Notamacropus eugenii: one gene and its partners. The protein of the gene in region 4 purifies or fractionates together with the protein of the main gene of each other region. This does not show direct contact. Links are inferred from orthologs where the notes say so. Each region holds a gene or a part of one and is shown on either strand. Other genes may lie near its edges. The genes, in order: E3 ubiquitin/ISG15 ligase TRIM25-like, EPDR1, CASP8 and SQSTM1.

Region 1 (7,850 bases), on a different chromosome or scaffold from region 4:
CAACTTCAATATAACAATAAAAGTAGCATACATATAATGCCTGGGGGCACTCACTTACTTGTAAATTGGGTATCACCATGGCACAGCATAACTGAGGTTCATGGTTCTTTGTGAATTTGAAGATCTTACATTGATTTATTGAGTATACTCCATTAAAAAAATCCACTAAATACTTCAGTTTCAGGGAGGAAATTTTCATTATAACCTTTATTATTATCACCAAGAAAAATGGCAAATTCTTCCAACTGAAATACTCATCCAAGTCTTTTTGCATGAGAAAACCTGAGAGCTTTAAATAACACAGGGGTGGTACCTCTCTGGGACACCTGCCATCCACATTTAAACTTGCAGGTTGAGTCCTCAAGGACTTTGTAGGTCCACACTCCTAACACCATATAATTCACAAGTTCCCAGCATACATTTGCCTTTGCTTCTTCTAGTCTCTGCTAAGATCCCGCCTCCTGCAAGAAAACTTTCTCAGACCCTTTTAATGCTAGTTCCTCTAAGACTGCCTCCCATTTACACTGTATATATTTTATACATGCTTAGCAGTTTGCATGCTGTCTTCTGCAATAGATTGTAAGCTCCTTGAGCATGGACTGTTTTCAACTTTTATATTTCCACTGATTAGCCCAGTGCCTGGCACATAGTAAAGTGCTTACCAGTAGAAGGTCCAGATGCATCAATTGACATGAAAATTTTATTATAATTTTGCTTTGAAATTTTCACCCCATTTCTATTTTTATTTTTATTTCTTGCCCTATGGGAAAAAATGTGCTGTATCAAGTGACTCAGCTTGGTCCTTTAAGGTATCCTTAGATTTGGATCCTTCTTAATATATGTTTGTTGACTTGAGTCTAGTCAGTCATAGTACATAATTTGCTCAAGACAAAGGCATTTACTGAAATGATATCAGTTACAGCATTTCATAAACCTGGAGAATATTTCCTACAAATATTCAAGGTGTCAGAGGGAAGAAGAAATACCTACAGAGTTGGTAAATGAAGTACACACAAGAGGAATATGGGTCATCAAGATATATTCAAAGTGGGGATTGTAGTGGGGCTGAGGGCACCACTGATGGTTGATGTCCTCCAATTCCTTTCATTAACCTTGGTCTCTCAGGCTCTGCTAGAATCTTATTCAGTGATTGACTACTGACTCCAGCTTTGGGCTAGACTAATATCCTGGTCTATGGTACTATGATGCCTTTCTAGAACAAAATAGAGCCCAAGCCATAAGACCAGTAAGAATGTCATGTCTGGGGACTGCCATCTCTTGAATGCAATCCACTCTCTTAGCAGCTAACTCTTGATTCTTGTCCCTGACACATTTAGCTAGACTTTGCTGGACTCTCTTCTGCCCTGGACACTGGTATATGTTTCCGTTTCAAGTTGCTATTACCATAGGGAAGCATATACCTTTCTTACCCATCCACTGCCATTTTATAATAGGAGCAAGGGGAAAAGTAAAAAGCCACCTCTGAAGCTGAGCTCTTCCTCCATAGTTGTCTTTCTTCTAGACTGACATACCTGGCTAGCTTACTCTACAAATAGTTTCAAAGGTCAGGGCCAATCTTTTCAGTCCATCCCTAGATTTTGCAATGAGTATCAATTACCTTCATGCAATGACTCATGCTCTGTAATCCTACCAGGCTAACTGAGCAACTTCCTACATCCTAAAGGAGTGACCCATACTTAGAGCTATACTTAGGGATGACCCCATATAGTCACACAATTTTGCAAAGGGATTTCCTTTTAATGGAGTTTAAAATTGATTACTTTTCGAAAAAACAAATGGAGCAATGATTTTGGTCATTGTTTCATCATCCCACCTCAAAAGAGATCTCCCTCAAAGTTTGGTTGACCAATGGGGGTGTGCAGAAGCAAGAAGCATTAGGAGATTCTAACTAGGACTTCAAGTTTTGACTCAATCCCACATTATTTTCTCATTTCTTCCCTCCCACTTCCATTCCCTTATTTATTTTTTATGGTATGTATATATCATAGAGGCAGTGTGGCTTTGTGGCTAGAGAGCCAGCTTCCACTCTAAGGAAAATCTGTGTTTAAGCCCCAGCTCTGAAATATGCTAGCCACGTGACCCTGGGCAAGTCATTGTATCTCTGTGTGTTCTAGGTGACTCTTCTTTCTCTGTTTCTCTGTATCCCCAGGGTATAGCAGGTGTTTAATATATACTTCTTGATTTGACACTATAAATAGCAGAGAATGGGCTTCCTTACAATGCAGAGGGAGTTTCCTCACCAAGTGATTCTCTATGTCAGCATTCCCTTACATAGAGATAATAGGATCATGAATCCAGATGGACCTACCCCAATCCTTTCTTTTAGAAATTTAGACATTTTTTAAAGATTATTTTAGAGATATTTAGGGAACTGAGGCTCAGATTAGCAACTCAACAGGGTCAGAAAGGGTTGGAGGGGATCTGAAATCACAGCCCTCTGATGCCCAAGCTAGTGTTCTCTCCAGTGTAACATAGCTAGCTGCCTCCTATTCCATCAAGGCAGGGAAGAAGTCCTTTCTTGGATAGATTTCTGCATACATATGCCCAGGAAAAGACATGAGAAAAGGATGAAAAATGGACTGAAGCAAAGATACCCCTTTCCCAGTTTAAATGGGCTGCCTAGAAACAAAACCAGCAGTATTAGAAGTAAGGGAGAAGTCTGAACTACACAGTGAAGAGTTTTGGGTCTGGAGTCAGAGAAATTTTAATCCTGACTTTGCCACATACAACCTGTACACCATTGAGTGAATGGCTTCACCTCTCTGGTACCAAGTTTCCTCTGGGTACAATGAGGAAGCTGGATGAAGTGGTTTATTCTAAGTGCACCTCCAGTTCTAAATCACAGGCATAACCTGAGTTACTAGGGAGGAGGTTTGGGATGGCAAAAGAGTACAAGGCTGGGAAAGTCCTTGCTGGCCCAGGGTGGAAAAGACTGTCAGGGATTGGTTGGGGTCTCCAGACTCCACTTTGTAGCAATTCACAGAACAACTGAGTGAAGCCATCTCTTCCTTTCCTTAGCCTCCCATTGGGCAGATGGATCTCTGCCATTAGGGTTGTTATTTTGTGCTGAGGAGTTGTCCTAATCATTCTTCCTCTGTTGAGGTAACGGCTGGCTCAGTGAAGAGACCCCTGACCAGTGGGACATCTCGAGTCTCAGGCACGCAGTGATGAGGCGGGAGACAGAGATGTAGCAAGCTCCGTTTATTATTAGCAAGTACAAGCCTTATATACTGTTCAGCCTTTTAAGTTCCATACTTGTGGCAAGCTAGTGATACATTTACCTCCTTAAGGTACAGATACCAGTCTCACGACTGCCTTAGAAAGTCTTAATAAGTACCAGAATGTTTACTCAAGACTGAGAGAACTGGGACTATTGTGTAGGGTTCCGGAGGGCCGAACCAACAACCTTTGCTCCATTTGCACAATCAAGTGGGCTTATCAGGCCATCATGTGCTCCTGAAACCGTTGTGGACCTCTAGGGTTCCCTACATTCCTCCAACCTATGAAAGCATAGTAAAAGCCTCCCTCTTTAGCTCAAGAGAAATATTAAGGAATAATATTTCTCCAACCTAAAAGTCTTTCAGACTTTCCCTTTAAGAGAATGGGTAGAAGAAAGGTTAAAGGACTGGATTAAGAATGAGAGCCAAATTTAATTTAGGTTGAAATAAGAACCTAGCATCCCCCTGACCTGCAGTGAATGGCACTGCACCTAAGGGCAGTGTCCTCTTTTCCATTCATGATTAAGGTATAGATGGAGGCTGGGAGGGAGAGGAGGGGGAAGTAGGAAGTAATCTTTTTCAATCCTTGAAAGGAAGGGTCCAAAAAGGAAGTGAGTAGTGACTTCTGGAAAGGTAATCCTAAACTGTGCTTTAATGCATTGTGATCTTCTGCTTGTTCAAGATTTCTATAAATTCTACCCCATGTCATCTTGTGGTACAGAGATGTATCAGAGTATATGACAATATGGACAACTCTCCCTCTCTCCAAGGTGGAAATGCCTTAAAGTCCTTCATAACTTGGCTCCCTCCCGTTTCTCTAGTCTCCTGACATTCACTCCCCTGTGCATACAATTCGATCTAGTGACAAGGGCTTCCTCGATGTTGCTTGCAGGGGATGCTCCATCTCTGAAGTTCGCATTTTCATTAGTGACAGCCTCCTTGCCTGGAATGTTTTCCCTCCTCTTGCCTTCCTTAAATTCAAGCCCTACTTTCTGCAAGAAGCCTTTACCACTCCCCCTTAAGGTTAGTGCTTTCTCCTCGCGATTACCTATATGGATATAGAGAGATAGTGTATTTATCTACATACACACGCATATATTGTGGTCGTCCTTCCTTGCCAAAGAGGGCCATGGCATCAGAGACATGATGACATGACTTGCACATGACTTCGTTTTGAGTGAGGGAGGGCTGTGCAGGTCACCAGCCTCACTTCTCCTCCAGAGCCATCTGAATCCAGTGCCCAGATATTCCTCAGGATGCCTGGCGAAGACCCAGGATGCGCTGGGGGACCTTGAGCCCTTTGGGCCATACGCATGTATAGGCGGCATTAGAATATACTCTCTTCAAGAACAGAGATTGTGGGTTGTTTTGAATTTTTATTTTTCCCTTTCTGTGTATCCCTAGCGTTTAGGGACATCGTCTGACACATAGTGGGTGTTTAATAAACGTCTGTTGGATTCGCTAGAGCACGTCAATGAAACACAACTCTTTCTGGCTTGCGTGTCTCAAAGGCGGAATGTTGATATTTTCCTTCCACAACCCCCAGGGCCAGCCCGGCCCTGCAACTCCTCCCCACTCCCCACGTGATTTCCCGTAACTCTCGGGGTCCCCTCCCCTCCGGCTAGTTTCATTTCTTTCTCCCCCGAGCCCGGAGAGTTTCTTTTCTTCCTCGAAGGCGTCGGGAGCGGAGCGCGATGGCCGAGCTGGAGCCCCTGGCCGACGAGCTGACCTGTTCCATCTGCCTGGAGCTCTTCCAGGAGCCCGTTACTATCCCGTGCGGCCACAACTTCTGCTCGCCCTGCCTGGACGAGGCGTGGGGCGGCCAGAGCTCCAGCTTCTACTGCCCCCAGTGCCGCCAGTGCTTCCGGGAGAAGCCCCAGCTGAAGAAGAACACGGCGCTGTGCGCGGTGGTGAAGCAGGTGCAGCAAGCCCAGAACCTCCGGGATTCGGGGCAGCCCCTCGGTGCGTCCCGAGATGGCGAGTCCTCGGACCTGCCGTCCGCGAAGTGGGCGCAGGCGAAGGAGGACACCGCCGGCAGCGTGGCCTGCGACTACTGCTTGCGGGCTCCCGCCGCCCAGACGTGCTTCACCTGCATGGCATCCTTCTGCCAGGAGCACCTGCGGCCGCACCTGGACAACCCGGTGTTCCTGAGCCACGACCTGCAGCCGCCCGTCCCAGACCTGGCCAGTCGCAGGTGCCCCGAGCACAGCCGCCTCCGGGAATTCTTCTGCTCGCAGCACGGCGTCTGCATCTGCAGCGTCTGCCTGGTGGGGCACAAGACCTGCTCCCCGGTGGCCCTGGACGTGGCCAGGACCCAGCTGAAGGTGGGCAGAGGGGGAGCGGGGAGAGGTCCGGCGGGGGGGACGCCTGGCAGCGGTTCGGGGTTAGCCTCAGGCCCCTGCGGGATACCGGTAGCTGCGGCCCAGCTAAGTTTCAATTTCCCGGGGCCGGGATTAGTTTCTCTTTCCTCCCTTTCCTTCTCTTTCCTTCGAGCCTTCCGAGGGAAGAACCTGTAGTTCAGCCAAGAAACAGGTAGGGGGCTTGTGGATGTGGGGGTTCAAGAGAGAGGTTCGAGAATCTAGGGGCACCTATTCTCCGCCTACCTGGGCGGCAGGGGCGCTTGGGTCCCTTTTCTGTGCGAGTGTGTCAGTTTCTTGGTCTGTAGGAGGAGGCGAAGTCATTCCTGCCCGGTACCCAGACTTGTTAGGAGAAAAGGCCACAGTCCACGAGAGAGGGCTTCCTTGAGGGGGTTCAAGCCCTGCCTCCTCTATAGTGGCCGTGTCACCCTGGGCAAGTCTCCTATTCCCCTCCGTGCCCTGGGTAATTTACAGATTGCTGGGAAAATGCTATTTTGCTTTGCTAGCGGGAAATTCCTTCCCCAGAATTTTTTCAGAGAGGTCCTAGGTGGATCCGGGGTCCCTCCCTCCCTATGGTCAGTATTGCTAAATCTGGGGAACCGAAGGTCCCAAGGTTATTTTGAAATATGTGATGGGGAGTGAGAGGAGGGTCTCCTTTAGTTTCCCAGTGGCCCGGATTGAAGTGACTGCCCTAAAACCGTGAAGCTGAGATGAGAAACTTTGTTTCCTTCAGTCTTTATTGGGTAATAGATTTTAGAGAGCTGGGATTTCAGAAGGCATTTAATCCACCCTCATTATTTTACAGATGAGGGACTGAGGTCAAATGACTTGACCAGGGTGACACAGGTAGCAAATGTTTGAAGTGGGAATTGAACTCTGGTCCTCTTACTTGGAAGCCAGGGTTCTTTCTCCTATTGCTTTCAATCTTCTGGTAAAACCAGAGGATTAGCTTAGGTGATCCCTAAGGCTCCTTCCAGTTCTAACTCCTATGATCAGAAATAGAGAATCAACCAGGCTTACTGTAAATCTATGTGTCTGTCTGTCTCTCTGTGTGTCTGTCTCACACTGTCTCTGTCTCTTTGTCTTTGTCTCTCTCTACCAGGCCAAAAATGCCTCAGAACTTCTCTCTGTGGTGTTTTGTTTTGTTTTTTTGGACATTATCTGTTGTATCTTGTAGTAAAAAGCGTATGCTCCTTGACATCAGGAACGCTTCTGGTTGTTTTTCTTTGTGCCTGAACCTCCTGGGATGTAGTAGTAGGAATCTAAAGATTCTTGAATTGAACCATGATGAGGTCTTTCAAGCCCAGAGCATTTTTGTAAAGTCTTCGAACCTTATGAACTCTAGTCATCATGTACTCTCCCTTTTTTCTTTTCAAAAATATTTTTATCATTTGTTTTTTAACATTCATTTTTTAAAATGTCAAATTCTAAAATCTTTTCCTCCTTCCCCCAGCCCATCTGAAACCCATTGAGAAAGCAAGCAACAAAACCCATTATACTTGTGAAGTCATGCAAAAAGATACCTTTTCCTTTTTAATGATGAAAATTGGTTCCACCATACACATTACTTTTTCCTTAATCTGAATCTTCTTGGGGTTTTGAGGAGGTTTTTGGTGGCAGCATTTTTTTAAAATAATATTTTATTTTCCTCCCTGTAAAGACAGTTTTTAACACTCAATTCTTAAAAATTTGAGTTTCTAATTTTTTCTATCCCTTCCTCACCTCCCCCTTCCCTGAGTTGTTAAGCAATTTGGTATAGGTTATACATGTTCAGCGCTGCAAAACATATTACCATGTTAATCATATTGTGAAAGAAGACACAGACCCAAAGGAAAAAAAACCATAAAAACAATATAGAAAGTGAAAAATAGTATACTTGCATCTGCATTTGGAATCAATCAGTTTTCTCTGCAGGTGAATAACATTTTTTATCATGAGTCCTTTGGAATTGTCCTGCATCATTGTATTGCTGAAAAGAGCCAAGTCATTGATCATGACAGCTGATCATTGTACAGTATTGCTATCACTGTGTACGTGTTCTCCTGGTTCTGCTCAGTTCACTCTGCATCAGTTCATACAAGTCTTAACAGGTTTTTCTGAAATCAGCCTGCTCATCATTTTTTTATAACGCAGCAATATTCCATTTACCACAACTTGTTCAGCCATTTCTCAGTTGATGGGCCACTCCTCAATTTCCAGTCCTTTGCTACTACGAAAAAGTAGTTGCAGTTAAAATTTTTGAGTTCCAAATTCA
Region 2 (7,492 bases), on a different chromosome or scaffold from region 4:
CCTCAGCTTTCTTCATAGCACAGACCAGATGGCACCTCCTACTTCAGACTTTTTCTGATTTCCACCCCCCTTTTGAAATTACTTTGCATATATTCTGTGTTTTGTTTATTTGTTTACATGCATTTCTGTGGTAGAATATAAGCATACTGAGGGAAGAGACTGTTCGATTTTTATTTCTGGCCGCTAGTTTGGAGTCTTACTTGTAGTCAGTGCTTAATAAGCATTGCTTAATTGAGGTTTGTTGTTGTTTGTCAGGGGTTCGACTCTACTCATGACCCCATTTGGGATTTTCTTGGCAGTGATGCTGGAGGGGTTTGTCATTTCCTTCTCCAGCTCATTTTACTAATGAAGAAATTGAAGCCAACAGGTTAAGTGACTTGCCCAGGATCACACAGCTGGTAAGCATCTGAGACTAGATTTGAACTTGGGTCTTTCTGACTTTCTTAGATGTTGAGGTGAGGATTGATTTAGGTTGAGATGAAGTCATATCAGATCAAAAGGACCAGGGAGTTGTCCCCAGCCCACTCCAGGGCTTCAGATCCATTCTAGAGTGGGCCTGTGCATCATTAACTCTACCAGATTCTTGGTCTGTTTCGTGGAAAATTAAAACTCCTAATTTTAATCCTAGATTTAAATTATGAAGGAGAAATGATACTCATAGACTTGCCAGGGCTAGTTAAAATCAAGGTATTTTTCTTCTTCCCTTAGCTTTTTCAGATCTGGGTAAAGACAGATGTGGGAGGAGCAGATGAGGAAGGCATGCTTCCAACAGACTTCTCTTTACTGTGTTCTCCAGACATGAGACCCCACCCTGTTTCTAAGGTGATCCCTTAGAAAGATAGCCTTCTGTTCTTCCTACTTTCATACATGTAAACTGTGGCCTCATCCTCTCCTTGGCATTCAAAGCGCTTCATCCCCTACCCTCTCCTACCTTTTCCTTCTTCTTATATCTCACTCCCCAACAATTATCCTTTGATGGGGTGACTCTGCTTCTTGGCTTTTCCGATAGTCAGACACTCCATCTCTCAGTTCTGGTCATTTTCTCTGATTGGTCCCCCTGCTTGGGACCCTCTCCCTTTTAAACTCCACCTGTTGACTTCCTTGACTTCCTTGAAGTCTCAGCTAAAATCCCACCAATCACTCCTAATCCCAGTGCTTCCCCTCCTCACCCCCTTAAGTATTTATTTATTCTATCTAGAGTTTGCTTTGTATATATTTGTCTGCGTGTTGTCTCTCCCGTTAGACTATGAATTCCTTGAGGCAGGAATTGTCTTTTGCTCCTTTTGCTCCCAGCACTTAGCAAGGTGCCTGGCACATAGCAGGTACTTATTAATATTTATTGATTGATGTTGAGCAAATCTGAAATTGCCACCTAAAGCCGGTGTTCTCTTTAAGCCTTGGTCTTCAATATAGCTTTATCCTTATACCTTAGCCCTAGATTTGTGCTTACATTGGAAAGATTTAAAGGTGAATAATTTCACCCAACAGACATCTATTAACTCCCTGTCATGTTCATGGTATTGTGCCATGTACGAGGGACACAAAGACATGATCCCTGTCCTTGGGGGGATTATAGTCTAGAAAAACACAACTGGCACATAGATCTCAGAATTCTAGATCTAAAGCAGAAAGGGAACTTACAGGTCATCCAGTCTAACTGTCTCATTCTACAGATGAGGAAACTGAGGTCTAGTTTTCCCAAGGTAGAAATTGGAAGAGCTAGATTGGAACCCTGATACTCAGCAAATCTAGAACTCTTGACAATGCACCTTAATTCCTCTCAGTTATTACAACAAAATATGAAGACCTGAAGTAGGAGGTGCCATAATCATCAATAATGCTGCTACTACTGGGGGGGTCTCCAGGGTTCCCTCTGCCATTCTTTCCCATCTCTCCTGAAAATGCTTAGCCCTTCCTCAAGCCACTTGTGGGTGACAAGCAAGCCTTTCTTTCTTCATTAGTTTGTTTTCTCATTTATAGGGAGCATGTTTGGCCCAGTGCAGTTCCCTTGTACACTCATGTACAATACAGGAAGTAGACTTTACCTGGAGAGGCAATAAAGTTTGCTTTTGGGCAAGCAGGCTGGCTTGTTTAGGGTCCTGGGCAACATGGTGACTCTGACATTGGGGGCTCCTGTTCTCCTTCCTGATCCTCCACCCCCCCCTTTGGCCCTGCCTCAACCTCTGGGACTCCCAACTAGAACCCTCAGGGTCCACTCTAAAAGGGTTGCCATTAGAGAATGCATAGTCACACCAAGATGAATGATAATGCCTCACTCCACCAAGAACAGAGAAAAAAAAAACCAAATTTCAAGCAAGGACTGGCTTTCTAAGGATGGTACATGAGACACTGTGGAATCTTTAAACAAGCAACTACTTGGAACACACTTTTAAGTTTAATCTGTATTGTTAACATTTCCCCATCAATTTCTTCAGGTCTAGAAAATCAACAGAACTACAAAGTCAAGCTCTCATTTATAGCATTTACTAATTTCCAGGTGTAAATGTCCAGACTGAAAATTCAACAATTACTCTCCAAGATAGATTTGGTTCTACCACACCCCTAGATGGGATTGAGATTCTTTTCAAGGTAGAACTGGGGTGGCAAAGAAGAACCCTTCTAGGCTCTCCTCAAATCACTTCACAGGCAAGTCATTTACTTTCTCAAAGTTTTTTAATCTGTAAAATATCTGTTTCCTTATTTGTAAAATATGAAGATTGGATTAGATTGGTGTGGGAAACCTGTAGCCTCAAGGCCACATGTGGCCTTCTAGGTCTTTTGGCATAGCTTTTTGACTGAGTCCAAGTTTTACAGAACAAGTTATTTTATGAAGGGAATTTGTTCTACGAAGTTTGCATTCAGTCCAAGGGCTGAACTTGAGGGCCTAAAGGGCCACATGTGGCCTCAAGGCAGCAGGTTCCTCACCCCTGGACTAGATGATCTGCTATTTCCTCCCACTTTCACTTTCTTTCACTGCTTTTCCACTAGTCCTAGGATCTAACCCCCTGCTTAAGCTAAAGGCCAGCCTAGCCTCTGGACATCTCAGCCACTTCCTGGACAATTAATGGAAGAGATGAAATGTGTGCTTGGCACCTTGGCCTTTGTGGATGAGGATTCAAACATTTACTCAACAGTTGCTGCTCTATACCAGTCTCTTCTTTCAGGGCATTGTAAAAGTATATCTCAGTCTTCTAAATCCAATCTTAATTGGCTCTCCCTCCTGCCTCACTTTCCCAGGGGCACAAGGTCACTCATGGTTACCAGGCACGGTTAATCAAAAAGTATTTACTAAGTATCTACTGTGTGACAAGTTCAAGACAGTGAGGCTTCTCAATATGTATTTGACCTCCAGTGATGTTAGAGAGGGCAAGAGTAATTCTTCTGTTTTAGTCCTGAGTTCCTCAGATCCAGAGACCTGGACTCCCTCAAATAGAAAAAAAACTGTCAGATGGAGGTTGGAGAATACTAGATGTAGAACTAGAGAGAAGGGTGGTGGGTAGAGTGCAAAGAGCACTAGACCTGAGTCCTCATCTGTCCAATGTGGGGATTGGCCTTGATGGGTTCTGGGGTCCTTTCCAGTTTGAAATCTATAATCGAAGAGGTCAACTAGTCCATCCCTTTCATTGTACAAACAGGGAAACTGAGGGCCAGAGAAGGCAAATTACTTGCCTAAGGTCACATGGGTAGTACATTGAAGGGGCCTGAGGTAATTTTTACAAATGTGTGGATATAGTGGTTTGATCTGATTGAGCAAGTGAAAAGGCCACACTTCAAAGAGCCTTTATCCCCCAAAGCAAACTCTTTGGGGCCAGGAACAGATTCTTTTTTGTCAGTTTGGTGCAGGACCTAGCACCATGCCTTACACAGGAGGAGTTTAATAAATGTTTCTTGAGTTATTGGATCCATGGGGTGACACCAACTCCCACTTATATAGTGCTCTATTTATATTTAAATAGTGTGAAAAGCAAACTGTGGGAACTGAGGCTTGGGTAAATTAAGTCACCCAGCTAGTAAGAGTTACAGCCAGAGCCAGGAATCCAACTCCAATCTCTCCAGACTGCAGGCCCGGACTTTACTGGGTCAAGTCCATGCTCTACCACTGCAACGTCCAGTTGCTTGTCCTTCCCGGAAACCCTCTAGTTCTTAATCTGAAAAATGAGGGGCCCGAGTCAGAGAATCGCTAAGGTCGTTACCAGCTCATCCTAACGTGAAGTTAAGGGCGCTTTCTCTCCCTCCGTGCGGAACCTGGCTCCCCACTTGGTGTCCAGAGGGATGCCAAGATGCCCCTTGGAGTTTTGGGGGGAGACTGAGTGGCAGTTCTGGGCAGCTGGTCCTGTCTCCAGCATTTACTGCCGCAGCCCCGCCCGGCTGGTGTTGCAGTCCTCCCGCATTTGCCCGAGTTCTCCCTCCTCCCCCCGCCCGCACGTCCACTCTGCGGATGCCCATTGGGCTGCGACGGGCACGTTTGCCTCTGCATTTCCTGTTGGCAGCAGAGAGGCGGCGGGGGGAAGGAAGCCGCAGTCTCAGCCGGAGCCGGAGCGGGAGGGAGCCAGCTGCGAGCTCCCTGCCGCAGTGTCCCCCAGCCAGCTCCCTGCGCACGGGGAAGCCGGAGCCGAGGTCGCGGCTCTCTCCAGACCCGACTGGACCTCCGTCCCTCCCTCCCCCGGCAAGTGCACCGACCGGCTAGGGGAGGGAGGGGACGGCGGCGAGAGAGCCACTGCCCTTTCCCGCGTTTCCTTCCCCAGCCCTGCCCTGCCCTGCCCTGCCCTGCCCTGGGCTGTCCAGTCCAGCGCTGTCCAGCCCAGCCCAGTCGTGCCCCGTCCTTGGCCACCCTGCTCCCCAGCCCGCGCCTTTCCACCTGCGCTGTCCCCTGTGGCACAGAGAGGGATGCGCGCTGCGCTTCTAGTGGCTTGGCTACTGGGTAGCCTCTGCAGCTGGGCGCTGGCTGTCGGGGATCCTGGGCCGCCATGCCAAGCTCCGCAGCAGTGGGAAGGACGTCAGGTGCGCTACGACCACAGCAGCGGCCGCAACACCCGCGCCCTGCTCTCCTACGATGCCCTCCAGCAGCGCGTCCGCCTGCTGGAGGAGAGGAAGGCTCTCATCCCTTGCAAGAAGTAAGTGCCAGGGTCTCAGGCAGGGGACTAGGGGGACTGGGGTGCAGGGAGGGAAGGCTTCGATGGTGGGGAGAAACGAGGTGGGGGCTATGGTTAGGCGGGGACTCACTGCGGCAAGGCTGGGGGTGAACCATAGCTAGGCAGGGAGGCTGGGGGGTGCACTGCAGTATGGGAGGGGGCTCATTGGAGAGCACCGCAAGGAGAAGAGCGGGGGAGCACTGCGGCTTTGGGAAGGAGGTCAATGCGGAGAGGGGCATGGAGAGGAAGCGAGGGGCGCACTGCGGCAGGGCGGGGTGCGTTGAGGGTGTGGGGTGGGGTTCATTGAGGGACATGTCAGAGAGGGGGGCGGGGGGCGCACTGCAGCAAGGCAGGGAGGCGGGGTAGGGGCGCAATGCGGCAAGGAGAGGAGGTGGAGGAGGGGTGTACTGCGGCAAGGCAGGGGGAGCGCACTGCGGCAAAAAGGGAGGGGGGGCGCACTGCGGCAAGGCGGGGAGGGGGGCGCACTGCAGTAAGGCGGGGAGGCGGGGGCGCACTGCGGCAAGGCAGAGTAATGCACTGCGTAAGGCAGGACGGTGGAGGGAGCGCTGCAGTGGGGGGGGGGGGAGAGTCGTTGCACGGGGTGTGCGGGAGAGCACTTTGGGGTTCGGAAAGGCTGGGGATGGAAGTAGCACTTCCTGGTACGAGGAGGAGGTTGAGGGGATGCATTACTAGTGCACTTCAGGCTGTGGAATCGGGGTGCATTGCGGAGGCGGGAGGCCGGAGTGGGGACCGGGGACCGGGGAGGTTGAGGGTGTGGGGTTGCGGGAGGATGGGTGGAAAGGTGGGGGGAGGACCTCTGCACCTGGGCTAGCTTCTTGTCTGTCTGTAACTTTTCTTTTCGGGGAGCGGGGGCTGAGGAGGGGTATAGGGGACGCCTCTTCTTTTCCACGTCAGATCCCACTAAGAAAGGACCGGACTCCCCTCCTCTTTAACGTTCGGGGAGATGATTAAAGTCGGGGAAGGGCGGGGCCAGGGAAGAGGAGAGAATCAAATGAAAGTGTGCGCAGAAATTTCTTTGGTTGGGGTGGGACCTATCTTTCACCAGTCCCACTCATTACCCTGCCCCCATGTTGCGGCTCCTGGTGACTCAGGTTTTCTTTGATGACAAGCTTTGTCCTCTTTCTGCCAGCCTGCAGCATCTGCCAGACTGGGTGGGGCGGCAGCACCTCCCTCTGCAGGGGATGCGTAGTATTGTCTGCCAGGATTGCTAGGATGAGAATTCCAGGCTCTGCAGACCACCCTTTCCCCGCCCGGCACCTTGCCTCAGTAGAACTGGGGCGATGGTGTACTTTCTTTAGAGCAGTCAACGCTTCCTACCCCTGCCTTTTCCAGGCTGCCCCTGGCTCTTCTATTTATGTCCCTGGGAAGGCCTCCTGGAAAATTTTCTGGGATGGCTTCAGGTAGTGAGGCATTAGGCCGGCTCCGCTGCAGCCTGGCACAAGGCCAAGTTATAGCTGCACTGTCCCCAGGGCAGGGAAACATCCAGATGAGAGGCCAGTCAGTCCGAGCGCATTATAGTCCTCTGTTCTGGGCCCAGGGGACACCTGAAGATCGGTGGGGGGTGGGGTCGAGGGGACACAGGAGAAATTAGGGAGCAGAAGCCATCTGCTAAGGGAGACAAAGGAACTCGAGAAGCTTGGCAAAACACCGTTTACAAAAGACGCCATCGTTGATAAGGTAATGCTGGGTGGGGCGGGAATAGGGTTGGTGAGGGAGGGACCTCCTGGATTGCGAGTTGGCCACCATTTTACAGGAATCCCAGAGGGGTTAAACAGAGCTGACATTTATTTCCCCTTCATGCCTGGACACATTACCTCATTTGATTTCTGCAACATAGATGCTATGAACATCCCCATTTTGCAAATTCAGAAACTGGAATCTGACAGATATTAAGAAACTTCTCCAGGGCTACACAGGCAGACTTTGAACCCAGGTCTTCCTGAATCTAAGTTTAGTCCTCTTTTCTGTAGATTAGGTTGCTTGTGGGCACTTGGATTCAGGTTCTTAGACTCCAAATCCAGCCTTTTGAGTGGATCTTGAAGGCACTGACTGGGAGAGAAGAGAGATCAAATCATTGTAGACTGGAAGGAGAAATATAGTCCAGGCAGTTGAATTGCCCTTAGCCAAGGACTGATAAGAAGTATGTAGCATCCTGAGCCTTGGTTTACAGAATATGGAATTCTTAGAGCTGGGTGGGGCCTCAACCCTCATCTACCCCATACCTGGAAGGAAACCCTTCTCTACCAAATGATAATTAATCCTCTCTCTTCCAGACTCTCAAGGAGTGAGAAGGCACCCTTCTACCCACTCCATTTTTGGGTCTCTTCATTAATAAGGAG
Region 3 (7,828 bases), on a different chromosome or scaffold from region 4:
AGATTCTGGGCACAAAAATCCCTTTCTGTGTCCAGACGAGTACAAGCTTGATTGCACCACCTTGGAGGAACTGAGATCTTACATATTCCCAGAGTATATCCAACTCTTGACAAAGGACCCAAAAGCCAAGTAACTGGTTGGGAAAAATGCCCAAAAAAGGGAAAAAAAATAAGACTACAGAAGGTTACTTTCTTGGTGAAGATATCTTTTCCCATCCTTTCAGACGAGGAAGAACAATGCTTACCATCAGGGAAAGACATAAAAGTCAAGGCTTCTATATCCCAAACATCCAAAATAAATATTCAATGGGCTCAGGCCATGGAAGAGCTCAAAAAGGATTTTGAAAATCAAGTTAGAGAGGTGGAGGAAAAATTGGGAAGAGAAATGAGAGAGATGCAAGAAAAGCATGAAAAGCAGATCAACATCCTGCTAAAGGAGACCCCCAAAAATGCTGAAGAAAATAACACCTTGAAAAATAGGCTAACTCAATTGGCAAAAGAGGTTCAAAAAGCCAATGAGGAGAAGAATGCTTTCAAAAGCAGAATTAGCCAAATGGAAAAGGAGGTTCAAAAGCTCACTGAAGAAAATAGTTCTTTCAAAATTAGAATGGAACAGATGGACGTTAATGACTTTATGAGAAACCGAGAAATCACAAAACAAAACCAAAAGAATGAAAAAATGGAAGATAATATGAAATATCTCATTGGAAAAACAACTGACCTGGAAAACAGATCCAGGAGAGACAATTTAAAAATCATGGGACTACCTGAAAGCCATGATCAAAAAAAGAGCCTAGACATCATCTTTCATGAAATTATCAAGGAAAACTGCCCTGAGATTCTAGAACCAGGGAGCAAAATAAATATTGAAAGAATCCACTGATCACCTCCTGAAAGAGATCCAATAAAAGAAACTCCTAGGAACATTGTGGCCAAATTCCAGAGTTCCCTGGTCAAGGAGAAAATATTGCAAGCAGCTAGAAAGAAACAATTCAAGTATTGTGGAAATACAATCAGGACAGCACAAGATCTAGTGGCTTCTACATTGAGGGATCAAAGGGTGTGGAATATGATATTCCAGAAGTGAAAGGAACTAGGACTAAAACCAAGAATCACCTACTCAGCAAAACTGAGAATAATACTTCAGGGGAAAAAATGGTCTTTCAGTGAAATCAAGGACTTTCAAACATTCTTGATGAAAAGACCAGAGCTGAAAAGAAAATTTGACTTTTAAACACAAGAATCAAGAGAAGCATGGAAAGGTAAATAGCAAAGAGAAGTCATAAGGGACTTTACTAAAGCTGAACTGTTTACATTCCTACATGAAAAGACAATATTTGCAACTCTTGAAACTTTTTTCAGTATCTGTGTAGTTGGTGGGATTATACACACACATACACACACACACACACAACACACACACACAGACAGAGAGCACAGGGTGAATTGAATAGGATGGGATCATATCTTAAAATAATAAAATTAAGCAGTGAGAGAGAAATATATTGGGAGGAGAAAGGGAGAAATGGAATGGGGCAAATTATTTCTCATAAAAGAGGCAAGTAAAAGACTTTTCAGTGGAGGGAAAAAGGGGGGAGGTGAGAGAAAAAACATGAAGCTTACTCTCATCATCTTCAACTAAAGGAAGGAATAAAATGCACACTCATTTTGGTATGAAAACCTATCTTACAATACAGGGTAGTGGGGGAGAAGGGGATAAGCAGGGTGGGGGGGATAATGGAAGGGAGGGCAGTGGGAGGAGGGAGCACTCTTGGGGAGGGATAGGATCAAAAGAGAGAACAGAAGAAACAGGGGACAGGATAGGATGGAGGGAAATATAGTTAGTCTTACACAACACAACTATTATGGAAGTCATTTGCAAAACTACAGAGATATGGCCTATATTGAATTGCTTGCCTTCCCAAAGGGAATGGGTGGGGAGGGAGGGATGAAGAGAAGTTGGAACTCAAAGTTTTAGGAACAACTGTTGAGTATTGTTCTTGCAACTAGGAAATAAGAATACAGGCAATGGGGTATAGAAATTTATCTTGCCCTTCAGGACAAAAGAGAAGATGGGGAGAAGGGAAGGAAGGGATGTTAGAAGGGAGGACAGATTGGTGATAGGGGTAATTAGAATGCTCGGTGTTTTGGGGTGGGGGGAGGGGAGAAATGGGGAGAAAATTTGGAACCCAAAATTTTGTGGAAATGAATGTTGAAAACTTAAATAAATAAATTTAAATATAAAGAAAAAAAGATGAGGAAACTGAGGCAGATAGAGGTTAAGTGACTAGCTGAGGATTACACAACTAATATAGTGTCTGAGATAGAATTTGAACTCAGGTCTTCCTTCCCTCAAGCTGTTTTATTTACTACACTACCTAGTTGGAGGTATAACAGACAATGCAGCCAGTACCAGGAAGATGTGTGGTGGAAGGAATGTCATTATCAGGAATGTCAGTGCCAGAAGATAGAAGGAGAGAGAAAGGAAGAGGTTTAACATGAAAGGAAATTTGTTAATTATGGAGCAAGTATTCCAGAGAGTACAGTGGAACAGGATTGATACATCTGGAGCAGGATTCTGTTAGGGTTTGGGTTGAGTGGGATGGGAAGAAGGCTTGTAGTATGTGTGTGTGTGTGCGTGCGCACGTGCATGTGTGTGCATATGTATATATGCACATCATATATGTGCACATGTGTTAGCATATATAGGAATGTTTATATATATTTACACATATAAATATATGTATGTGTTGTATGTATCCATACATATACATATATGAAAATAATGTGGTTTTACTGGTCTTAGGGATATTTCTTAACCAACGGGTAGTTAGAGATGGGGAACAGAATTTGTACATTAGTAACCATGGGGTCAGAATCACTGGAATGGGGAGAGTATGAGGGGGTGAGAGTATTCTGGCCTTTGAGAAATGAGGCCAAAAAGAATAGCAGTGATTGGAGAGAGATCTATTTGGGGAAGTAGGTTCAATATTGTTCAATATAGGTGGAGCTCTGGGCCTGGAGTCAGGAAGACCTGAGTTCAAATCCTACCTTAGACACTTTCTAGCTGTGTGACTATGGGAAGTCACTTAACCTCTGTCTGCCTCAGTTCCCTCAACTGGAAAATGGGGATGAAAAGAGCACCTGTGGTGAGGATTCAAATGAGACATTTGTTAAGTGATTAGCAAAGTGCCTGGCATATGGAAGATGCTTAATAAATGCTTACTCTTCTTCCTACTTCTTGGTGTTGTCCAATCTCATGGTAGATGATGATGTGTCCTGTGAGGGTCCTAGGAAGCTAGTCTCACAGCAGGGACAAGTAGGTGGAGGTAAGGCCCTGTGAATCTAGAAGCCCATTTAAGGAAGAGGAAGATGTGGGGGTGGGGGGGATCAAGGAGAAGCTGGGGAAGGGAGCGGAGGGGAGGGAGGGGAGGGGAGGGGAGGGGAGGGGAGGGGAGGGGAGGGGAGGGGAGGGGAGGGGAGGGGAGGGGAGGGGAGGGGAGGGGAAGGGAGGTAGACGTAACTGAAGTCCCTGCAGGAAGAGATGGATGGAAGCCAGGAGGTGGGTAACTGGTTCAGATTCCTCAAGGTGGCTGATAGCTAGAGAAGTTTTTGGGGGCCAACAGCTTCTGTCTGGGCCTCAGTTTTCTTACTTGTAAAATAAGGAGATTGACTAGCTGTTCTCTAAACTCTTCCTCTTCATGCTGAGGGCAGCAGAAATCACAGCCCTAAAAAACAAAAATAAAATCAATTACTCTGGGCAAAGCCTTCACCCCCCTCTCCACATCAGGTTCCCCACCGTATCTGTAAACCCTAGTGAGGAGTCTCAAATAGTCTTAAAAGAGCAAATGAGATCCTCTTGCCTTACTAAGCCAGGTTCTCGGGCAAGGGATTATGAATTTAATTTGTCTCTGATCATTTTCTTCTCAATTCATCCTGGATTTATCAGCATGTAGGTAAAATGCTGGGCTCTGGGGGTGCAAAGAGAAAACACAGCCCTTGCTCTCTGAGAGTTTTTTTTTTACTGAGCTAGAGGAGCACAATAGAGCTGAGACTGTTGGGGTTCAGATAGTTGAGGGGAAAAGTAATTTCAGGAATTTAGTGAGGATGGGGATGGGGAAAAGTGTTTATTTTTGGAGTGGCAAATTTTGCAACTGGCCTATCATATTGCTCTTCTGGTGGCCCGACTTTACTAATCTTAGATCTCTCTTCCCTCCCCCCCTTCTCTTCTTCCCTTTCTCTTTCTTTAATTCTTTCTCTTGTCTTTCTTTTTATAGTCATCTTTTTTTTTTCCATCACTAAATGTCTACTGGTATGCCTCTCCCTACCCTTCCCAGAGAGCCATCTATATAACAAATATTTTTAAAGGGGAGAGGAGGAAAAGGAAGGATTAAAAAAAAACCTAAAATCGAACGAAGAAAGTGAGAATATATGCAATGTTCCGCACGGTGGACCTCTCCCTTCTGCAAAGGAATTGGGTAGGGGTGGGCTGTCTTCTCATATTAAAGACCCCAATCAACCACCTGCCCTCTGGAGTTACCTGTTCTGAACCAGGGTGGGGCTCCCTTAGACGGTTTTCAAATTGACGTTTCCTTGTTTTGAACTTCACCTTAGGGTCAAGCAGACAATTAGGTCCTGGTCCTTTAAGCTTTTTTTTTTCAGAAGGTGGGGAGGGGAAATGACTCATTCAGTTCCCAGTTTAAAAAATGTGCTGGTTTTCCCTTCGCTGACTTTTTTTTCTTTTCTTTTCTTTTCTTTTTTGCTGAGAATCAGTATCTCCGGGCGCCGCGGGGCTCGCGCTGGACAGCTTCTGAAGCCTGCAGTGTGCCCAGACAGAGCTCAGCCAGCGGGATCTTTCCGGGCTGGTGACTTGACTTAACTTTGAAAGTGCGGAACCGAGAGAGATAAGAGAGGCGGCCCCGCCACCATTTGAACGCGGAATCCACTTCGGTAGGTGAGTTGCCACGGTCCAAGGAAGGAAGGAAGGGGGGGAAGGGGGAGAGAAACCCAATCTCTTACTTTTTCGCGAAGTAGAACCAGGATTTAAGTGACTTCTGTTGTGCTGGGCACTGTTCTAAGGGCTGGGGATTAAAAAAAGGCAAAAAACAGTTCTCAGAAAGTTGTCAGTCTCGCGAGGAAGATATGCAAGATATGCGAGATACATGTATCATGTCCAAACAAGATACATGTATCTTGTCTAAATAAGATACATAAAAGATAAATTGGAGATAGCCTCAGAGGGAAGACGCTAGCATGACAAAGGACCAGATGTAGAAAGTAGAATTTTACCTGGAACTTGAATGCAGGGCAGTCTGGAGGTGTAGCTGGGGAGGGAGAGACTTCCATGAGTGGAAAACAATAATGAAAATGCCTTAAGGTGACAGATGGAGCATTGTGTGTGTTTGTTGTCTGTTGTGACATGAGGAAGGTGCTGTCTCGACTTGCAAATAAGTTTTTAAGTGAGGGAGGGCTGTGCAAAGTCACCAGACTCATTCTCTTCTCCAGTGAGTTCTGGGTCCAGTGGCAAGCTATAGATTAGGACGACTGGAGATGGCTCCAGATGCAACATTGAAGAGTAAATGGGAATTGGAGGGGGGGAGGGAAGGTTACTAAGTTGTAAAAAAAGAAAACCTGGAAAAGTTAAAGAGTAAGTGGAGGGGACTGAGGTGGAAGAAGTCAGAGGGGACCGAGATTATGAAGGGCAGTTGGAGATATGAGGAAGGTGGTCAGGAGAGAGATTAGGGCTAGATAAATAGTTATGAATAAATACAATCTTTAACTTAGAAAAGATCGTGAAATCCATAGAAGCTGATAACATCGCCAAACAGAAACAGTATAGAGGGAGAAGAGGTCGAGAAGGATCGAGACTGAGAAAAGGTCACTAGATATGCTTTTAAGGGATCATTGGTAAATCTGGAGAAAGCAGTTTTAGTTGAATCAGATTTTAAAAAGTTGGGAGAGTGAGAGAAACGAAAGTGAAGGTATTGATTGTCAGTCAGTCAAGTGCCTACTGTGCATCAGGCTGTGTTAAGCAATGGAGATATAAAAAGAATTCGTGCTTCTCAAAAGAGCTCACAATCTAAAGGAGGAAAACATATAAAAGGAAAGGAAAAAGAGGTATCAAGTGCAAAAAAAAAATGTTTGGGAGATTCAAGAGTGCCACTTGGAATAGAATGAATACCTGATGGGCCCAGGCCACCTCCTTAAGATGGAGGTTCTGGGTGGAGCCCAGGGGAAGCGAATGTCCAAGAGTCAGAGGGTTCCATTTTGAATATGAAGTCTGGGAGTAGCGTGAGTTCCAGAGTAAAGAGACATTGTAGAAAAAGTTCTTTCTTGGGCACTGTAGAAAATATCTAGAAGACCCAGGAGGGAGGACCAGAGAGGAAAGGGTTTTGGGGAAGGTTTGTGTTTGCCCTTACTGGTGTGTTTATAGGCAGTAGAGAAAAAACCAGTAGATGGAGAGAAAATGAGGATTAGTGGGAGTGGAGATGACAGAGGAGTGATCTGCTGGAAAAGACAGGGTGGAGTGAGATCACTTGTGTGTAAAGGACTTTGACTTGGCAAATAGAAGGGTCACATCATGTGAGACAGTGGTGAAGGAGGAAATAGGAGTGCAAGGCATCTGAGTGATAGGAGATGAAGAAGGAAGAAGAGGGGGCTCTTTGTGAATGGTCTCAATCTTTCTTGGTGAAATAGGAGGCAAGCTTCTCAGCTGAGAGAACTGGAGGAAGGGGAGCAATGGGAGGATTGAAGAGAGGCAAAAGGAATGTTAGAAAATGATGATAAGCTTATTGTAAGGAATGTTTATTCCAATACTTTAAGGATCTATAATTTCCCTGATGAGAAGACCCCTCCACCAATGCTGATCACAACCTCTCTACCATTTGTCAGGTGGTCTTATCAAAGAGCTATTGTCCCTAATAGTCACAAGCAAATCAAATTCATCTTAGGAAGGTTGATCTAAAGGAAGGATTAAAAGGAAAGAAAGAAAGGCAGTATGCAGACGTGGGGAATCTGTAGCCTCCAGATCACCTGTGGCCTTCTGGGTCCTTGGGTGTGGCCTTTTGATTGAGTCCAGGTTTTGCAGAACAAATTCTTTTTATTAAGGGGATTTGTTTTGTGAAGTTTGGATTCAAAGGGCCTCACTCAAGGACTTTGAGGGCCACATGTGGCCTCAAGACTATAGATTTCCTACCCTTGGATAGATAGTGTACTGGACTTGGAGTCAAAAAGAACTGGGCTCAAATCCAGACACCTACAAGTTGTGTAATTTGCCCAGTTTCTTTGGACTTAGTGACCTGGAAGATCTCGTCTACTTCTGGAATCTATCATCCTATGAAAGTGAAAGAACCAATGACGAAATCTGCATAAAGCATCAAAGAAAAACATGAATACTGTAGGCACTTATATAATACATGTATCAGTCTGCTAGAAAAGGTTTTTAAGAAAAAAAATTATTAATCTGTAACCAAACTCTTTCTAGCATGGAGAGGGATGATGAAATTGGCATAATCCACATGCACTTTGACATGACTCTGTCCTAGAAAAGCTTACTGGTAACATGTACACCTAAGGAGTCTGCACCAAGGGAAAGATAGCTTGTGTTGAAATTCCATCCCATCCCCTGAGTAACGCTGTGATTTGTGTGGATCGTATCTACTGATTTAAAAAAAATTATTAATTCATTCATTTAAAAATAACAAGTCATTATGTTAACATAAATAATATTTTAATGAAAATTACTGTTTTCCAAAACAAAAGAATATTAATGATGAGACTGGCACTGTTTCACATAGTTTTGCAAATCTCTTTAATGTCTGTCTTAATGA
Region 4 (7,035 bases):
ACCACATCATTCCCATTTTACAAATGAGGAAACTGAGGCTGAGAGAGGTTAGCATAGTGGACAGAGTGCCTGACTGCAAATCAGGTCTTAGACATTTGCTGGCTATGTGACCCTGGGTAAAGCACTTAATCTCTGACTTGCCTCAGTTTCTTTTTCAGCAGAACAGGGATAATAGCAGCACCCACCTCACAGGGCTGTCATGAAGATCAAATTAGATAACATTTGCAATGCACTTTGCAAACCTTCATGTGCTCTACAAATGCTATTATCACTATATGTACATATGGGTATATATCTAAATGTACGTACATATATATGTACATACACACATGCACAAAAATATACATATATGAGTGTTTTCCTCACCCCTAACCACCCTCTCTCACCTCCCACCAAATCTAAGCCAGAACCCAATGGTAAAGAGCAGCTCTCGCCCCTATAGTGAAAGAAACCACTGTGGTTCATTGGGAAGAGACAGAGTCAAATCTGAAGGATATGTTTCATTCATTTCTCTTATGGCTTGTGTGACCCTGGGTGATAGTAGCAGCAGCAGCAGAAGTAGTAATAGTAATGTCACTTAGTAGGCAAGTCACTAAACATACATGGGTTTTGGTTTCCTTGTTTGTAAAAGAGGTTGGCTTAGATGACCTCTGAGGTTTGTTCCAGTTCTGACTCCATGACCCTAGCTTGGTATCTGTTAGTAAGTCAGGATGGAGGTTACAACCTTTCACCCAGAGGGCTAGACTCCACTGACCTCTAAGATCCCTTCCAGCTCTAAATTCCAACTTATAAGCCTTAAAGCTGAGCAGGGGGTTGGCAAGTGATGCATCTGGCTTCTGGCCCTGGCTGGAGAACTCTGACAAGGCTGGGAACTCACTGAGTCATCGTTACCCACACTCCCAAGGGCCAAGGAGCAGAAACCTTCCTACCTCCCTTAGAAAGTACTGGATGGGGTTGAGCCAAGCCTGGTTGGGCAATACTCAAGAGGAAGGGGTGTGGCCAAAGTAATTAAATGAGTGAGAGTAGGGATACCCCCCCAAGTTTCTGGTGTTCTCTAGAAAGTTCTGTGTCCCACCCCCAACCAGAATTCCTTTCTACTAACCCTGGGTTCTCTGGCCCTGCTGCCTCATTTCTAAGTAGCTAGCTGACCTTAGGGATCCTGGACTCCTTGTTACCTTTTATAGACTCCCCACCATATCCTTCCTGTTCCCTTTCTTCTGAGTCTCACTTTTCTCATCAGTAGAGAAAATGGTACCTGAAGTGCCTACCTGATGGAGTTATTAGGAGGATCAAGGAAGATGATGTGTGGCAATCCCTGTAGCAATTAATCAATCAACAAGCATTTATTAAGCCTCCATTAGGTGCCAGGCCCTGGGCTACGTGCTGAGGCTAAGACAAAAAGTGACATCCCTACGGCCAAGAAGGAAGGCAAGCACAGAGTCAAGCACACACAAAGTATATGTGAAGTCATTTCAGGGGGAGGCACTTGCTTCTTCCAAGAAGTGCTGGCTGGCATTTAAGCTGAGCTTCTAAGGAAACTAGAAGCTCCAAGAGGTAGAAAGGAGGAGGGAGTGCACTCAAGATGTGGGATACAGCCTGGGCAAAACTGAGGAGATGCGAAATGGCTTGAAGGCCAGTTTGATTGGATCGTGAGAAAGGGAGTTAATGTTCAGTGAATGAGGAAAGATAGGGCCAGGTTGTGAAGGGTTTTAAGATCTAAACTGAGGAGTTTATACTTTAAGTTACAGGTAATAGGAAGTTAAGAGAGTAGGAGAGTGACACAGTATTAACTTGCCTAAAATTCCCCATTAGATAAGCTTCCTGAGGGGAGGCCTAGAAAAAAGGAAGGAGAACCTGCTGTAGATAGTCAACAAATAGGGAAGGGAATAAGAATTTATATATGGCCTACTATGTGTCAGGCACGGTGTTAAATGCTTTACAAATGTAAACTCATTTGATCCTCACAGTAATCCTGGAAAGTAGGGGCGGTCATTATTTGAAACAGAGGGTAAGTGACTTGTGCAGTAAGGTGACACAGTGTCAGAGGTCAGAGCTGACTCAGGAATTCCTGACTACAGGCCCTAAGCTCTATCCATTTCACCCTCTACCTGAGAAAATCCTACCCAAGAGAACTCCCAGGGACAAAGAATCATAGAAATGAACCTGTGACTCAATTCTCCTTTGGACTGGAGTGAAACAAGCCTGATCTCACAGACAGTGCTAGTCAAACCCCTTTCCTCTTGGCCCAGTGAAACTCCCCAGATTCCCCTGATAACATGTGTTGTTCCCTAAAGCCAGACACTTATTATCATCATTCCCAATCAACCAATCGAAAGGCATTTATGAAAGGCTTATCATTGGCCTGTGGCTGTGCTATACCTTAGGGAATCAAAGACAAAAGGGAAATAGTCTGTGCCCTCAAGAAACTTACTCTTCGGGGGTGGGGTTGGTTGAGTAGTATGTACATACAAAAATATAAGCAAAATAGATAGAATTTAAGTTTTGAGAGGAAGGCACAAGAAACTGGAGGAGTTGGGAGAGGTTTCCTGTATCTCTTTTATGCTGTATCTCTTGATTTAAGTTTTGAAGGAGACCAAGAATTGTGGAGGGCAGCCAGGTGGCACAGTAGATAGAGAACTAGCCTGGAATGAGAAAGACCTGAGTTCAAATCTAACTTCAGACACTATCTGTGTGACCCTGGGCAAGTCACTTCACCCTCTTTACCTCAGTTTCCTCATCTGTAAAATGAGCTGGAGAGGGAAATAACAAACCACTCCAGTATCTTTGTCAAAAATACCCCCAAAGGGTCACAAAGAGTCAGAAACAACAGTAAGTTAGAATGGAAGAGTTGAATTATCTCCTGGGCCTTCTACTGGAGAAAGATGGAAAGAGCTCAGCACCACAGGCCTCAGGGGACAAGGGCACGGCATAGGGCACAGACCCTAGGGGATTTTGAGGGGACAAGTAGTTCAAGCAATAAGCATTTTTTAAGCATCTACTATGTGTTAGGCATAGTTTAATCTATATTATATTGTATCAACATTTATAACGCGTACTTTATATTTTAATCTCTACGCGGTCAGTCAAGTGGCTCTTGGAGCTGGAGGAAGATGGAAAATTCCAGATTTAACAATGAGGGGCAAACCAAGCCTCCCCAGCCCCATGGGCCAAGTTAGGCAAGTTAGACAAGTTAGCCTCGGAGCCCTGGCCATCAGAGAAGGTCACCGAGCTAAGTTCTCCTTGGCTAACGGTCCGTGAACACTGGCAAGGAGCGCTGCGGACCCCCTCTGCGGGCAGCAGGCCCACTTTGGGGCACGGGGTAAGAGAAAGCTCCCGGAGCCCGGAGGCCCCGAAGTGGCCAGGCGAGCTGCTGAGTCATGCTCAGTCAGGTCAGTGTGCAGTCCGGGGAAGTCCCTCACCCGTGGGGCTGTGAATCCGGAGGGAAGCGGCCTGGTGCCCAACTCTTCCTGCCCTATGCGGCCCTCGCCAGCGTGCTGGGGCACCGGGGGCACGGAGACCTCCCCCTCCCCACAGCTCAGGGCCCTAAGGAAGAGCCAGGGCTCCCATACTTCTGAAAGTTGAAGGGGCCCTTCCGCAGGTCCGCGGACCTCCCTCCTACAGCAGACACCCCCGCCCCGACGCTGAGACCTCCCCTAGAACACGGCGCCCCTCCCTGCCCCCTCCACCTTCCACTCCCCCCAACGGCGCATAAAACCCTCACCCCCCAAAAAGCCTCCCGCTCCTTTCCAGGGGCAAAATGACGGTCCCTTCAGCCTCCTCCGGCTACAGGGACACCCCCTCCCACACGCACGTGGGAAGCCTCTGGGATACTTTTCTAGACAGCTGCATCCCCTGGCACGTGGGAACTGCTCCCCGCCCCCACTCTGATGCCTCCCAGGGTCGCAGAGCCCCCAGCTCCGCCACTACGGACCGAACGGCAGACCCCTCCCCCCACTTGTTTATTTCGGCAGCGCACGAGGGATCCGCTTCGGGGCGTGAGCTAGCACCGAGGGACACGTGAGGGGAGGGGGGCGGGCGGGGTCCGGGGGGGGGGCGCGTAGCTCCCGGCCCCGCCCCAGCCGGGCGGAGACTCGGGCGTCGTGTATAAGACCTGAGCGGGGCGGGCTCGCCGGAGACGCCGTCCCAACGTCTGCGGGTCGCAGGTCGCCTTCGTCCGTGTTTTCAGCTGCCGAGACCGGCCTCTCCGCCTGCACAGTGCCGCCGACGCCGAGATGGAGCGGCTGACCGTGAAGGCCTACCTGATGGGCAAGGAGGAGGCGGCCCGGGAGATCCGCCGCTTCACCGTGGAGCCGCTCGACGGCCCGGGCCGCTGCGAGAAGCTGCTCCGCCGCGTGGCCGAGGTGTTCCCGGCGCTGCGGCCCGGCGGCTTCCAGGTGTACTACCGAGGTGAGGCCGCGGGGCCGGGCCGGGCAGGCGGGGGCCTGGCCGGGAGCGGGGCTCCGAGCCCGCAGCCGGCTCTGGCCCGCCCTGACCCTGCCGCTTGTTTATCTGGCGTCGGGCCGAGCCGGGCTTACGTAACCGGACCCCGTGTGCCGTGACGCGGGCCAAACCGCCGAGGCTGGGCGGGAGCCGAACCGACCCCCGCCGAGGTCTCCGTGTCCCCCGGGAGCTAGGCTAGGATTGGCCCGCCTGCAGCCACCCGCGTTTATTAAACGCTGCTGTGTGCGAGGCGCTGGAGACAGAAAAATGGTGGCGCTCCTACCCCCGAGGAGTTCACTTGGTTTTGGGGGTGTGGGGGTGTGTACACACACTCGTGGATGCGTAATACGTGTGTACGTATATCGGCGGCTGTACGCGTATCTAGCAGCCTGTTGCACGAGCAAGTCTGTTTATACAAACATGCGAATAAGTAAGCCAAGGTTCAGAGTTTTGAGGAGGAGGATCCGGAAGGAGCTTGGGGGCGGTTAGGGTGTGCCTGGCTTGGAGGTGTGTGTCTCGGTGCCCGCGTGTGCCCTGGCAGGAGTGGCATCAAACTTGTCCCAGCCGTGCGGCGCCGGGCGGGTCGCTTCATCGCCTCCTGCCTTAGCGTCCCCGTCGGTAAAATGGGCATTAGAAGTAAGGCCAAGCTGCCAGCGCTGTTGTGCGTGAGTGTTCCATGGAAGCGTTACTACTGGCGCTGCTACGGCTCCAGCCTTGCTTTGGGCCTGGCCGCCCGCCAGCCTCCTGGTCCTGTTGTGACTGCCCGAGCTGGACCTGGACGGAGCCCACGGTGGCGGCCCTCCCGCCCCCAGAGTAGTCCTTGGCTTTTCTACTCCCCCCAGGGCAGAAGTTTCCAGAATCTGTGACCATTTTCTGTCTCACCGTCTCCAAACTAATTAGTAAAATAACGTGTGATGAATCCCACAAACGAGCTAAACTTTTTTTCCAGAAATGTTTGTATAGTCAAAGAGTGGGGGGGAAATCCCACTTAGAGACCACCCTTGGAGATTGGATTGGTTTAAATCGATGTATCCTTAGGCAACACAAGATCCGTGCACACCAAAAGAGGCAGCAGACAGTCTAATGGAGGAGACCACATGCTAATAAATACGTAGAAAGAGAGCTACATTCAGAATAAAGAGGGAAGGCACTAGAATTTAAAGGGTTTGGGGAAGGCTTCCTGTAGGAAACCAGGGAGGTCAGTCAACACCAAAGGGAAAACTTTCTAGGCTCAGGACACCCAGAGAAAATGCCCAGAGCTGAGGGTTGGAGTTCGTGAAACAGCCAGGAGGCTGGTGTCGCTGGATAAGAAAGAGTACCTGTAGGGGCGAGTAAGGTGTAAGAAGATTGAAAAGGTTGTGAAGGGCTTTCCAAGGCCAAGCAGAGCTTTTTGTATTTGATCCTAGAGACAATAGGGAGGCCCTGGAGTTTATTGAGTAGGGGAAGGTGGGTTGACCCCATCGGACTTGAACATAGGAAAATCACTTTTAGTGGCTTGGAGGATAGATTGGAAGAAGGAGAGATGAGAAGCCTGCAGACACCCCATCCCCACAGCAGGATGTTGTAATCAAAGCCTGAGGTGATGAGGGCCTGGACCCAGGGGGTTGGCAGTGTCTGGAAGGATTTTGCAAAGGTGAAATCAATAGGCCTTGGCAGGGCTCGAATATGAGAGATGGGTGAGGAGTTCACCGTTCCTAGGTCAAGAACCTGAGAGACTGGTAAGATGATGTGGCTCCTGAGGGTAAAGGGAAAGGTTGGAGGGGCAGGATTTAGGGGGAAAGATTGATTTCAGCTTTGGACTTAGTTTAACTAAGTTAAAAATGTCTACTAGACATCCAGTTCTGGGTGTCTGAAAAGTTAGTTGGAGATGAGAAAATGGAGGTTAGGAGAGGGAGATTTAAGAATCATTGGCATAAAGATGATAATTAGATCCATGGCAAGTGAGAGAGAAGAGGGCCCAGGTATAGGAACTAGAGGGACACCCATGATTAAAGGGTGGCATCATTAGGAGGATCCAGGAAGGGACACAGAAGGAACAATCTGAGAGGTGGGAGGAGAACCAGGAGAGTGTGGTGTCCTGAAAACCTAGAAGAGGGTGTCAAGGGGGGGAGATTGACACAACTATGTTAGAGGTCAAGGGGAACGAGGGTGGAGAAAAAGACAACCAAGAGACTATTAGTAACTTTGGAGAGAGAAGGTTTTGGTGGAATGATGAAGTTGGAAGTCAGATTGCGAGGGGTTGAGGAGAGGAAGTGGAGACACTGATAAAGAGAAATGAGATTATAAAGTGAGGCAGAGGTCTCACTTTCGAATTTTTTTGGGGGGGGGGGGAGTTTTCCTGGAAAAAATGACTTCAGAGATCCAGGTATACTAACTTTGTAGTCTTTGATTCCCTTAGGCAGCTAGCACATACAGTGCCAGGCTTGGAGTCAGGAAGATCTGATTGGATTCAGATTTCATCCTGGAGGCAATTGGCAGCCACTGGAGTTTGTTGTTGGGGGAAGTGGGTTGACGCCAGCTGTGTGACAAGTCTAGGCAAGTTGTTTAACCTGCCTGCCTCGGTTTCTTCATCTCTAAAATGGGAATGATCATCTT

What was found.
Region 1: the proteins of SQSTM1 (region 4) and E3 ubiquitin/ISG15 ligase TRIM25-like purify together in Homo sapiens (affinity purification with mass spectrometry; 3 studies listed by BioGRID, with this or other methods). This does not show direct contact. The link is inferred for Notamacropus eugenii from reciprocal best matches to the Homo sapiens genes SQSTM1 and TRIM25.
Region 2: the proteins of SQSTM1 (region 4) and EPDR1 purify together in Homo sapiens (affinity purification with mass spectrometry; 3 studies listed by BioGRID and IntAct, with this or other methods). This does not show direct contact. The link is inferred for Notamacropus eugenii from reciprocal best matches to the Homo sapiens genes SQSTM1 and EPDR1.
Region 3: the proteins of SQSTM1 (region 4) and CASP8 purify together in Homo sapiens (affinity purification with western blotting; 5 studies listed by BioGRID and IntAct, with this or other methods). This does not show direct contact. The link is inferred for Notamacropus eugenii from reciprocal best matches to the Homo sapiens genes SQSTM1 and CASP8.

Annotation. Positions count from the first base shown.
Region 1 is NC_092873.1:368,989,278-368,997,127, reverse strand, and holds the start of E3 ubiquitin/ISG15 ligase TRIM25-like, read left to right. Parts: upstream 1-4,837; 5' UTR 4,838-4,933; coding exon 4,934-5,563; intron 5,564-7,850.
Region 2 is NC_092874.1:478,735,167-478,742,658, forward strand, and holds the start of EPDR1 (mammalian ependymin-related protein 1), read left to right. Parts: upstream 1-4,477; 5' UTR 4,478-4,887; coding exon 4,888-5,114; intron 5,115-7,492. UniProt on the Homo sapiens protein: Binds anionic lipids and gangliosides at acidic pH.
Region 3 is NC_092877.1:297,410,461-297,418,288, forward strand, and holds the start of CASP8 (caspase-8), read left to right. Parts: upstream 1-4,816; 5' UTR 4,817-4,953; exon of another isoform or gene 4,954-5,080; intron 5,081-5,288; exon of another isoform or gene 5,289-6,551; intron 6,552-7,828. UniProt on the Homo sapiens protein: Thiol protease that plays a key role in programmed cell death by acting as a molecular switch for apoptosis, necroptosis and pyroptosis, and is required to prevent tissue damage during embryonic development and adulthood.
Region 4 is NC_092872.1:416,510,058-416,517,092, reverse strand, and holds the start of SQSTM1 (sequestosome-1), read left to right. Parts: upstream 1-4,020; 5' UTR 4,021-4,232; coding exon 4,233-4,407; intron 4,408-7,035. UniProt on the Homo sapiens protein: Molecular adapter required for selective macroautophagy (aggrephagy) by acting as a bridge between polyubiquitinated proteins and autophagosomes.